Oryzias latipes: one gene and its partners. The protein of the gene in region 1 purifies or fractionates together with the protein of each later gene. This does not show direct contact. Links are inferred from orthologs where the notes say so. Each region holds a gene or a part of one and is shown in the gene's direction. Other genes may lie near its edges.

Region 1 (3,752 bases):
AGTACTGTATTATCATCTCCATCCAGTGTTTACATGATCGCACCGCGTGGTACATCTGAGCCCCTCCCTCTCGCAGAGCGTGATGGCGTCACTCCAACGTAAGCTGTCGGGCTGGAGAATTCGCGGCGATGGCGACGACGACTCCGAGCTGGAAGGGGATGCCGTGAAGCTAGCGTCGGCTCGGATATGACTACTGCCTATTTGATGGAGATTGGCTTGCTGTTCTGTTACTGCATGGGCTTCGGATGACTGCTTCGCCTCGTACTCGACGTCGCTCCGTTCTCTGGTGAGTCCGCCGGCAGGAGCGCGTCTCTGTGTGTTTTGACAGAGGCCTCCGCTCTGGGGTCCGCCCTCCATCTCATAACAACAAAAACAGTTGCAGAGCCGCGCTAGCACAACCGGCTAATGCTAACTAGTCAGCTTACTGGCTAGACCGTGGAAAAGCTTTTAATGCCAAATACCGACAGCTAAGAGATTGCCACACCACATGGACGTGTTTATTAGGACTGTTTGCAGCCTAAACGAACCCTTTGACCAAGTCTTAGGCCGTTAACAGTACTTTTCCAGGAGACTGTTTGTTCGTGGATGTTAAGGCGCTAAAATGTTGACTGCCGATGTGAACCCTTAACAAATACATTTAAATAAAAAAGTGGAAGAGCTTTAATATTAGTCACTGCATGTTACTCTTCGTACTTTGATGCTTCTGGCGTCAGTTAAAAATAAAAAGTAACCCAAAGGAAATTCGTGTTTATCTTAGCGTTAGCCTGCAAGTCTTAATATTGCGTATTATTTTCAACACATATTCACATTATTATTGTCAAATGCATACTATTGGCCTTGCAGTGCAACTTTAAGCTAACAAACCCAATTTTTAGACTTTTTAGAGCGCAGCTGTTTATATGGGGGTCGCGCTGCTTACCTACCTAGCCTCGTTTTGCTGCATTTTTACTATCCACGTCAGTGAATATTAAACCTAAACGAAAAGTTAGTCTGTACTGCCAAAGCCCGCAGTGCATGCCGGTCTATCACGGGACACGAGTAGGGTTAAGGCTCTAACGGGCTAAGCCGTCCGTGCGTGATTGAGTGAACTCGCAGCCAGACTTGATCCGTGGGTCATGAGCCTGCTGTCGTAAACAGAGCCGTGCGCTGGCAAGATATACTTTATCAGGTAGCAGCAGCAGCAGGAAAAGCAGGGTGGCCCAGTCAGTTTTGACCCTCCTTGGCCTCCATACACAACACTGAAAGACCAAGCTAAGCAAAAAAAAAAAAAAAAAGCCTTATTGTTTCTTATATTTTTCCATATAAGTATTTGGTTTTTTTTGCATATGCATCTGCACTGTTACTCAGGTGCGCTGAAACCACTGATTCAGTGACCCCCTTGGATCAGATTTCAGCATCTCCAAGAGTGGCCGACGTTTTTTAACCGTTTATTGGTCAGTTATATCTCTTTTTATTTGCCTGCCATGGCTGCTGCTCAGCTGGGACATGTAACAGCTTGCTTCTTCTAAAATGAGATGTTTAATCTTACCTGTTGAACTTATTAACAATGTAAGTGGCTGATTTTATACTTATATTTATGTCCCACCTAAAAGAAATCATTAGGAGTTCTAAATATGTGCATGCATTTTTTTTTTTTACTTTTGTTTTTACAGTTCCCATCAACCTGAAGTAAGTGCCTAAACTGATGTGGAGTTACAGCTGGCACTTTTCAATTTTGCATATGATTTTGCATTATATATCAGCTGGAATGCAAAGTGACCACAGACAATATCATTTAAAAAAAATATATCATTAAAGTGTCTGTAGGGCTAGTCAGTTTCATGTGTATATATGTCAAGAACAACTTTGCGTGATCAAGAGCAATGTTTGATGGTAAAAATATGTTATTTTTTATTTTGCAGATGTTCTTGTCCTACTTTGAATTTCCAAACAGGATCATCTTTGCTTAGTGATTGTCTGTGGGTAAGTCAGAAACTGCCATCATGTGAAGTTACTGTTTTCACCACAATTTCACACGTGATGTAAATGTTTACACAGAGGTTGTACTAGAAGGTTATATCTGCTGTTGTAAAGCCTTTTTATATAGAAAGTAAATGCTGTTAAATATGTAAAAAATATTATGCAAAAGGTCAGCAGATACAAAATGACTTCAATGGAAGACCTTCTTGAATTCTGAGTTATCACAGAACCAATGCATTGAGCAGAGTTTGCTTAGGTTGTTGCTGTGTTTTCTATTTTTTATGATCACTTTTCTCACTGACTTTAGTTTTTCTGAGCAGTGTGCTCTAATACAGACATTTATCCAGTCGTGAGTCAGGTATATCACTGGGCCTAAACATGTTTTACTTGAAATTAGTTTCTTTTGTTTCTGCTTTACATTTTTCAAATAATTATAGTCTTTTGACGGACTGTAAAACGCCTTGATTCTTATTAATTTCTTGTTTATTTTTAAAATTTGGTTCAACTTTAAACATAAAGAAAATCTATTTTAACTTAGATTTATGTATTAATGTGGGATTCACGGAAGGTTAACTCATCACTGTCTGAATCTAATTTAAGTCACCAAATGTCGAAATAAAAACCAACTTCTGGTTGCTGTCGAAGCGGAAGTGTCTACGGCCTCAGAGACTCAAAGATTCTTGTCTCGCAGAACGACTTCTCGAACACGTTTAACATCTTATCTTGACTAACCTGCATTTGTTTGCACTGAAGCCACTTTCCATTCATTTTAACCTAAATTTGATTTCAAATTCTTGGTCTTATTTGTGGTTGAGAAATAAACTTGCCTGGATACACCACAATCTTATCCTGAGTAGCTGCTGGTTTGTTGCAGTTTCAGAAGGTCCCTGGTGGTCCTTGAATGTTTGCTGTTAGTGACGACTTCCCTAAAAGTAAATCTTTATGTTCTGTTGGCGAATTTTATTATGTTTTACGTACAGCTGTTATTTAAATAAATGAGGTTGATCTCTGTTCTTTGTTTGTTAGATCTGTGAATACAGATGCTTTTCCCAGGTGACCTCCAGTTTTGCCTCCACTCAGAATTTAAAATGCATTGATCCGTCAGTATTCTTAGGAGCCAGAAAAAAAGCCTCTTGATATGTGTGTCAATATAATCAGTCAGTGTCGCATTCTCAGCATCAGGCTAGTATTGGATTTTTGAAACCTCAACTCAGACTAGATGGTGAAAAGGTGATTTAAGGATTGTGGATAAAGATCAAATTGGGTAATGCTACAGTATCTGTGCTTTTCTCTAATAGTTTAAACATTTTGTGCAAACAATTACTGTAAGTAATTTTATTTTTGTGTTTTGTTTTTTAAAGACTGATTTAGATCAGCATCTGTTGTTGGGTGACCCACACTCCTTCCCAGGGGCCATGGTAAAGTATCCACTTTTCTATACTTTGGAATAATGACTTCTGTGTTTCTTGATCAATGTGCTGTCTGCAAAATCGGACTTCTAAATCAACTGACCTTAAACCAGTTTTAATCAGCACTGTTTATCTGGAAGTAGACTGTTGCGTCACATCCAACAGTGGTAAAGGTCCTTTAAGGTTGCTGTGAAAGCAAGATAACTTTCAGTTTCTCCTGTAAGGTTGTAATTTCTGTGATTACATTGTGACACGAGCCCTGATCTAGAACTTTTTCATGAAATCCCAGCTTGTGCAAGAGTTTGTAGTCTCTTTAGGCTGTTCTGTGGTGTCAGCTGTTTGTTACCTCTGCTTTTGCTAAACCATCATCCCACAGGATGTGTG
Region 2 (3,752 bases), on another chromosome or scaffold:
ATTTAGAAAAACTGTTTATTTCTTGCTAGTCTTTACATCAAAAAAGAATGTACAACTAAAGAAATGTTACCTGTGAACAGGAGAAAAAAAATGAATATAAGAATAAAAGTAAAATATTTTAACTTAAAAGCTTCCCCTCAATATTTTATTTTCCATGAGAGTTCTGTGGGTTTTGCTTTAAATATTTTCATAATAAAATATAACTGAGAAAACAAACACTTGGGACTAAAAATTTTAACCACTTATTGAAAGACGTTTTCTATTATGGAAAAGAGAGACTAAACTAATAGAGACTAAACTAATTTTTGTGAGCTAGTTGGGTACTTTTGAATTAAAAATCAAATTATATTCGTTCATCTGAAGGCCTCAAGAATGGGGGAGATGTAGTTACTCATTATAAACACAAGGGGCCGCAAGTGTCTTAAAAAACAAAATAAAAAAGTATTTAGTTAGCCCATGCGTCATCATTATCCTAATCAATTTTATGTGAGTAACCAAAGAAAACCTTGGACGGGTGTTGAATTATAACCCCCCCCCCCCCTCCCTTTTTTTTGGCGCAGAATGAGCTTGACCAACCATTTACTTTGGTCTGTTAAACTTCTCCCCTCGTGTTTTTTTCTTTCTAAATAGCTATTACCGTTTTGAGATAGTTTTAATTTTATCTTTTTTGCGTTTATTTGTTTGTTTTCGTAAATTGTTTAAACTGACCGAACTGAACCTGCGCTCTGCCATCTAGTGCTTTGGAACTCCAATTACCCATGACGTTCCTGCCGCCCATTCGATACATTGTATTAGCCAATAGGAAACCGAAATTGGGCATTCTGTCAGCCAATCAGACCAGCTGATTTTTTTTAAAGGTTAAAACAGGGACGTTTGAAATTTCTAATCAGCGTTTCAGGAAAAGAATCGTGTGGTCACAGACATCTCTGTAGTTTAAACCTTTTAGGTGTTTTGAACTAGTTTTGCCGCATATATTTATTTGCTTTCAGTCCAAACAAGTTGTCTGTTCGTAACGTTTCACTGGACTTTGCGTTTATATTTAGACAAAAGGAATTATCTTTCGTTAGCTAGCTTTCGTAGCATCTACGTGGGCATGGTTTTTTTCTTCTTGAATGTATTGGACTGATTAATTCTGGATATTTTAACGTGCCGTGGTTGCTGTATATCATTGTGCAGTAGTACATTTGGGTAAGTTATGTCAGACGTTGCATTAAAAATAGTTTGTATGATAGTTGCTAAGCTAACAGAAGCACTTGTTCATTAACGTTAGCTAGCCTCTGGAGAAGAGAACATCAGCTCTTTTAACTTGACTTAAAGTATTTACTTTTATAAATGTTTTACCTTTACGTGCATAGTTTGTTCACTAAGATTATATTTGATCATTGTCTGTGTAAGTACTACAGTTAGCATTGCGGACCTAAGCCTATAATTTCCTCGTGTTTTCATCTGATACGCTATTTGAATTATATACTTATAATAATATAAACTTTTTCCTTCAGGAAATGGATCCTTCTCCCTCACTCAAGGTGACAAAGAGTGTGAAACTGCAAAAGCCTGAAATAAAGCAGGTGAAGTCAGACTGATTTTCTTTTTTTAAGTTTAAATGTCTAACTTTTTTATGCCCTTCACTGCATTTTCATATATAGTATAGTAATTAGGGATTGATTTATATTCAATGTTGGAAAATACCATTTGGATTGAGAAATATAAATGACCAAGTGACATCACAGCGGACAACGCACGTGATCAAGCCATCATTACAAAATGTGTGGAAACACTTTGGATTTAGCAAAAACATGATTATACGGTGTGATAGAACCTTCTAATACTGTTCCATATATATTATTTTTATGTGTATCTCTGAGTCACACTGGTTGAATTTTGGTTAAAGATGTCTGGGATCCATTGTAGGTCAGTGAAACAGATCGAATCATTCAAATCAAACAAGAATGAACTATGAATCTACAACCCCTAATGGTAATATAGGTTAGAAAGTAATACTGATGTAGCAATATGTAAAGCTGCATTTCCTTGAATTAAATGTTAAAATTTCTATTTGCTGGTCTCTTAATTGCAGTCCGGCAGTGATGGACCACGACGAATTCCTGTGTCTCAACAGCATCAAATGGTTCCCAAGGCAATAGTCACACCCACCTCGCATCAGCGAGTTCTCAGTGTGTCAAATGGACCTCAGCGTATCCAGCGACCTGTTAGTCATCAGAAACCGGTATCTCAAGTCGCTTTTACCAACAAGTCCTCACATTCTGGCGATCAGAATGTGAATCCAGCTACTCTGAATGCACATCATGCTCCACCGTCTAAACCTACGTCCCAGCAAAACCAACCAAAGACTCAGGTTCTCGGTGCAAATCCAGATTTGGCCAAGCCACCGTCGGAACCCATAAAAGCAGACAAGCAACAGAGTAGGTTATGCCACTGAATTAAACACATTTCTCACGTTTAAAAATAAGTTATTTATACATATATATTATATTTTATCAGGCAAGCTCTCAAGAACTGAGCAGGGCTCTACATCCAAGTATGTCAAGTACAGACTATTTTTTATCATGCATGTATAAGCCTGAAAATGTTCTCTGGAAGGCTGTAACCAGACTGTTGTGCTCATACAGGAAGCGATGGAGCCTAGAAGACTTTGACATTGGTCGTCCTTTAGGAAAGGGAAAGTTCGGCAACGTCTACCTCGCCCGAGAGCGACAGACCAAGTTCATCTTGGCTCTGAAGGTTCTTTTCAAGAAGCAACTGGAGAGGGCTGGGGTGGAGCATCAGTTGAGACGAGAGGTGGAAATCCAGTCACATCTCAGGTAATTCTGGCTAACCTGATCTCATCCCAAACAAGTATTTGCAGACACAAATCTCAACCTGATTATGATTTTGGGGCTGATCCCATCTAGTGTTTGTACCTTACAATCATTGACTGACAAACTCCAGTACAGCAAACAGATTCACAGTCAAAATTGCAAAAACAATATTGCTGTCATTTACATAACTGTTTATAGAGAAAGCTTATACAATGTGGGGGTGACGCAAAATCCAATACTACTCATTCAGGAGATTCCGACTTTGAGAGAGAACTTTTTAAAATGGGTTATGATGGCGTTACTATGGAAGCTTGTTAGATTTAAAAAAAAAAAAAACAGGAGATCTTCGTTCCAAGTCTTTTCGTGCTTTTTGTTCTACATAAGCAAAGAAGTCTAAGCAGCCCGGGCTCTAACCTCATCTGCTCATGAAAACTATAGGATGAGCTGCAATTAGAAGTAGAAAAAGTCTCATAGACATGATCTGTTTGTGTTTGTCACAATATCACCAGTCTGTTTTCTTCTTCCTACTTATTCACAAATGTTACAAAGCAAAATGTTGGGTAAGTTTCAAATATTAACCAGTAGGAACTGTTTGTTTCTTTTGTTTGAGTCAATCTCAACGACAATAATAGGCGCAAAGCCCGTGGTTGACCTGCTGGAGGCTCCCGTTGTGGGTGTGGTCGACTTCACCATAATTCTTATGATTTTTGCTATGAGTTTTGTTTCAGAATTTGCTCTTAATATTTTTCTGAACTACTGGTATAACAGTTGTAGTCCTAAAGCGAGGAGCTAAGGACGCGTCTACGACTGACATTAGGGATTTTAGTGAAGGTTGTTTAAACAATAATGTGTTCTTGTGATGTTTTTGAGATTATTGAGGGTGAGTTGTGAGAAATTGATTTTCGGGGTCGTTTTCGTGTACTTCATTGACGG
Region 3 (3,752 bases), on another chromosome or scaffold:
CTATTAACTGGTTACCCCAACTACCATGCAGTGGTGGATAAAGAAAAAAAGAAATGAAAACCTTAGGGGAAAAACAACTTTTTTTTTTTTTTTTAGCTTGGCATGTTGAAACCAAACAGTACAGTCAATATCCAAATGTAAAAAATTGGGAATCTTCATGTATTCTGGAGTTATTATTTAAGTATAGGCATCAACAGGTTAACCATCATGATCAGAAAGTGAAAGTCCTTAATTTCATCATGTTAACATCTTGTCAAATAAACAATAATCTTGGTATCACAAAAACGATGTGACTTTTTTTTAGTGTGGCAAGACAGATTAAACCATTACTGCAGGTTTACTTTCTCATATTGCTTTTGTTACACTATATTTTACTGCTTCTCACCATTTTATGCTTTCCAGCATAAATAATCTTTCAAGTTAAACCCTGAGGCTTTTTTGCTCAAAATCCTTTTTGAATTTCAACCAATCTAGAGTGAAAAATATCCTCCTCACTACCGGCAATAAAAACTTGTCCCCATAGTGGACATTTCTAGACCTGAAAATTATTCAACCACTGCAATTACTGAATGAACTCCTTTTGGTATCTACAGAGGGCATTTGTGGCTTTTCAATGATTACAATGATACACTTAGAATGCCGATAGCACTGTCTGAGAATTTGGTTTGAAACAGTATTTAATGGTTGTTCTAACAGAGTAGAAATTAAAAGAAAACATGAGAAGAAAGCAAACACTCACATGTTTCTCAATTTATGAAAAGTTGAAAGTTTTTCAAGGAAGTGTGGCGCAAGATGAGTGTACACAGTCAGCATGGCAATCAATAAAAATAAAAGTGTATAACCTGAACCAACAATGTCTGTCAATAAAAATCCATCCAAAAAGTGAAAATGACAAATTCATAAAAAACTCATAGTCTAACAAAGATTAAATAAACTTCATATGATCCTCTGCATTCATGTAATATTAGTGTTCAACTAATAACATGAACCTAAATGATCGATATTGGATCAGGAGTGGCCATAATTCGGATAACGCTAATAACAAAACACTTTCGAAATTAAATCCTTTTCCCGACTACATTTCCCATCCGTCTTTCTCGAGGAAACAAAAACAGCCTTTCAGCCAATCAGATTGTTGGAGGCCTTCTACTCTACTCCTGATTGGCTATTTTTGTACACATGTTCCCAAGATGCTTTGCTGTGACGCTGTGGAATTCAAATCTAGCAGACCAATCAACGATCGCCAAAACGACCGAGCCAGCATTTTAAATTTGTACGAGACACTTGTTATCGAAAAGGCAGAACGGGACAAGGCAACCGCTGCCGGGGAAGTCTGCGCAAGAATTCTGCCTCCGGTTTTTTTTTTAATTAATTTATTTAATCTTGGGACCTGTCGGCCTTTAAATGTTAGTCAACGTTTGCGGTTTAGATCGTTTGTTAGTATTTGCTGTAAATTGAGGCGTAGAAAAAGTTAGCTTCGAAGGCTAAACTAACGTCGGTTGAGTTGGAGGGTTAAACAACACTTTAGCCCTTGTTTAATAACTTTTGCGTTTCGACTTCTTTGGAGTTTTATTAACGCGGAAAGAGCACTTTTAAAGTACACCATGAGTGCTGCTATCGCAAAGCCGGCGCAGCCGTCCGGACACGTCGACCCAAAATCGGCTCCTCTGAAAGAAATCCCAGAGGTTTTGGTGGATCCCCGCACCCTGAGGAGATACTCCAAGGGCAGGTTCCTCGGCAAGGGGGGCTTCGCCAAATGCTTCGAAATTACAGACATGGAGACCAAGCAGGTTTTCGCTGGCAAAATAGTGCCCAAGTCGTTGATCCTGAAGCAGCACCAAAGGGAGAAGATGAGCTCGGAAATCTCCATTCACAAGAGCCTCAATCATGCTAACATCGTGGGCTTCCACGGCTTCTTTGAGGACGACGACTTTGTCTATGTGGTCCTGGAGATCTGCAGGAGAAGGGTGAGGATTTTGGGAACTCTAAATGAAAATACATGAAGGCCAACGGTTAACAATGTGGCCTCTTCCGTTACCCCCCCCCCCCCCCCTCCTTTGGCATAGTGCTGGGAGACTCAAATCCCCTGATCACTGCTTTAAATCACTGTTACTTATCCTAAACCAGTAACTTTTTGTAATTTAAAACTATAGAGATATCTAAATTCTTTTTCCCCTTTGTGTTGTTCCACGTGTTGTTTTTAACACTTCTTGAGGTGCCACTTCACTTCATCCAGCTTGTTCATGCTCTCCCAGCCTCCATTTTCCTCCACTGAGTTCAGCCGCTCACCAGAACTGTTGTCCTTTTTCAAGTCCCTGTTGGAGTTGCACAAGCGCAGGAAGGCGGTCACGGAGCCGGAGGCTCGCTACTACATGACCCAGCTGCTGAAAGGGGTCCATTATCTGCACAGCAACAAGGTCATCCACAGAGACCTGAAACTGGGGAACATCTTCCTCAACGACGACATGGAAGTCAAGATAGGTATGGAGAGCAGGAAACCTGTCGGTGTAGTGACAAAGAAACGGGCACACCCATGTTCTTGATATGCTCCCATAACTTCCTTGTTGAGAACTTCCAGCTCCAATTTGTTAACACCCATATTTGGCTTCTTAATATCCTTTACTCAGATTAAACGCTGATCATTTCTTTCTTTCCTTTTTTGCTAGGTGACTTTGGTTTGGCCACAAAGATTGAGTTTGATGGTGAACGGAAGAAGACCTTGTGTGGAACGCCCAACTATATCGCTCCGGAAGTGCTGTGCAAGAAAGGCCACAGCTATGAAGTGGATGTCTGGTCACTTGGGTGCATATTGTAAGTGTGTAAACCCACAGTGGAGTGGGGAAGAGTGTCATTCCACAGGATTCTGGATACTCAACTTCCTTCCTGTATCCTCTCATAGGTACACTTTGTTAGTCGGCAAGCCTCCGTTTGAAACCTCATGCCTGAAAGACACATACAACCGGATCAAGAAGAACAATTACACCATCCCCTGGGTGAGAAGAGCTGACGTTAATCCCTAAATGTACGTAATAGTTGGTGAAAGAAAATCTTAAGTTTACCGTCACTTCACTTGAATGCTGCAGCAAATCAACCCGTCAGCCTCGGCTCTCATCAAGAGGATGCTGCATGCCGATCCTGCCCAGAGGCCCACCATCACTGACCTGCAGACGGATGAGTTCTTCACATCGGGATACGTCCCCCTGCGGCTGCCCACCACTTGTCTCACTGTGCCCCCGCGGTTCTCCATTGCCCCCTCCATGGCTGCAGAGCTCAGCCAGAGGCGCCCCCTGACTGCCATAAACAACAAAGGTAACAAACCCAACAATTGCCCAAAACTGGTGCACTGATAATGAAAGTCTGCAGTTAATCAACAGTGATATTGATGGAGGTTTTTTTTATATATTTTTTTTCTCAGCCGGCACAGAGAAGGTGGACATGAAAGACGAGCCTGCTCCACTGTGAGACATCACACTAAGGTCTAAAACATGCGTCGTAGTTTGATCAAAAATGATAAATGGGAATTTTGTGTGCAGAGAGGCGGAGCCAGAAGAATGTTACCTGAAGGACATGCTGCAGCAGCTCAACAGCATCATCTCTGCCAAGCCTTCAGAGAAGGCGGTCATTCGGCAAGGTGAGAGCAGCCGCCTGCAGGAACTACCTAAACTTTCTGCAGTTTTAGTCAGTCCTTCTTACAGAAAACCCCTTGTCTTTGATTTCAGAGGAAGCAGAGGATCCTGCGTGTATTCCCATCT

What was found. Proteins that work in one complex are often made in the same cells at the same time.
Region 2: the proteins of mtmr3 (region 1) and aurka purify together in Homo sapiens (affinity purification with mass spectrometry; 3 studies listed by BioGRID and IntAct, counting the BioPlex papers as one, with this or other methods). This does not show direct contact. The link is inferred for Oryzias latipes from reciprocal best matches to the Homo sapiens genes MTMR3 and AURKA.
Region 3: the proteins of mtmr3 (region 1) and plk1 purify together in Homo sapiens (affinity purification with mass spectrometry; 4 studies listed by BioGRID and IntAct, with this or other methods). This does not show direct contact. The link is inferred for Oryzias latipes from reciprocal best matches to the Homo sapiens genes MTMR3 and PLK1.

Annotation. Positions count from the first base shown.
Region 1 is NC_019867.2:25,608,831-25,612,582, forward strand, and holds the start of mtmr3 (myotubularin-related protein 3), read left to right. Parts: upstream 1-1,556; 5' UTR 1,557-1,576; coding exon 1,577-1,668; intron 1,669-1,901; coding exon 1,902-1,962; intron 1,963-3,320; coding exon 3,321-3,377; intron 3,378-3,752. UniProt on the Homo sapiens protein: Lipid phosphatase that specifically dephosphorylates the D-3 position of phosphatidylinositol 3-phosphate and phosphatidylinositol 3,5-bisphosphate, generating phosphatidylinositol and phosphatidylinositol 5-phosphate.
Region 2 is NC_019863.2:11,351,675-11,355,426, reverse strand, and holds the start of aurka (aurora kinase A), read left to right. Parts: upstream 1-839; 5' UTR 840-1,188; intron 1,189-1,499; 5' UTR 1,500-1,502; coding exon 1,503-1,568; intron 1,569-2,077; coding exon 2,078-2,423; intron 2,424-2,502; coding exon 2,503-2,539; intron 2,540-2,630; coding exon 2,631-2,822; intron 2,823-3,752. UniProt on the Homo sapiens protein: Mitotic serine/threonine kinase that contributes to the regulation of cell cycle progression.
Region 3 is NC_019859.2:22,726,618-22,730,369, reverse strand, and holds the start of plk1 (serine/threonine-protein kinase PLK1), read left to right. Parts: upstream 1-1,202; 5' UTR 1,203-1,604; coding exon 1,605-1,967; intron 1,968-2,312; coding exon 2,313-2,481; intron 2,482-2,666; coding exon 2,667-2,811; intron 2,812-2,899; coding exon 2,900-2,993; intron 2,994-3,083; coding exon 3,084-3,309; intron 3,310-3,415; coding exon 3,416-3,458; intron 3,459-3,533; coding exon 3,534-3,631; intron 3,632-3,719; coding exon 3,720-3,752. UniProt on the Homo sapiens protein: Serine/threonine-protein kinase that performs several important functions throughout M phase of the cell cycle, including the regulation of centrosome maturation and spindle assembly, the removal of cohesins from chromosome arms, the inactivation of anaphase-promoting complex/cyclosome (APC/C) inhibitors, and the regulation of mitotic exit and cytokinesis.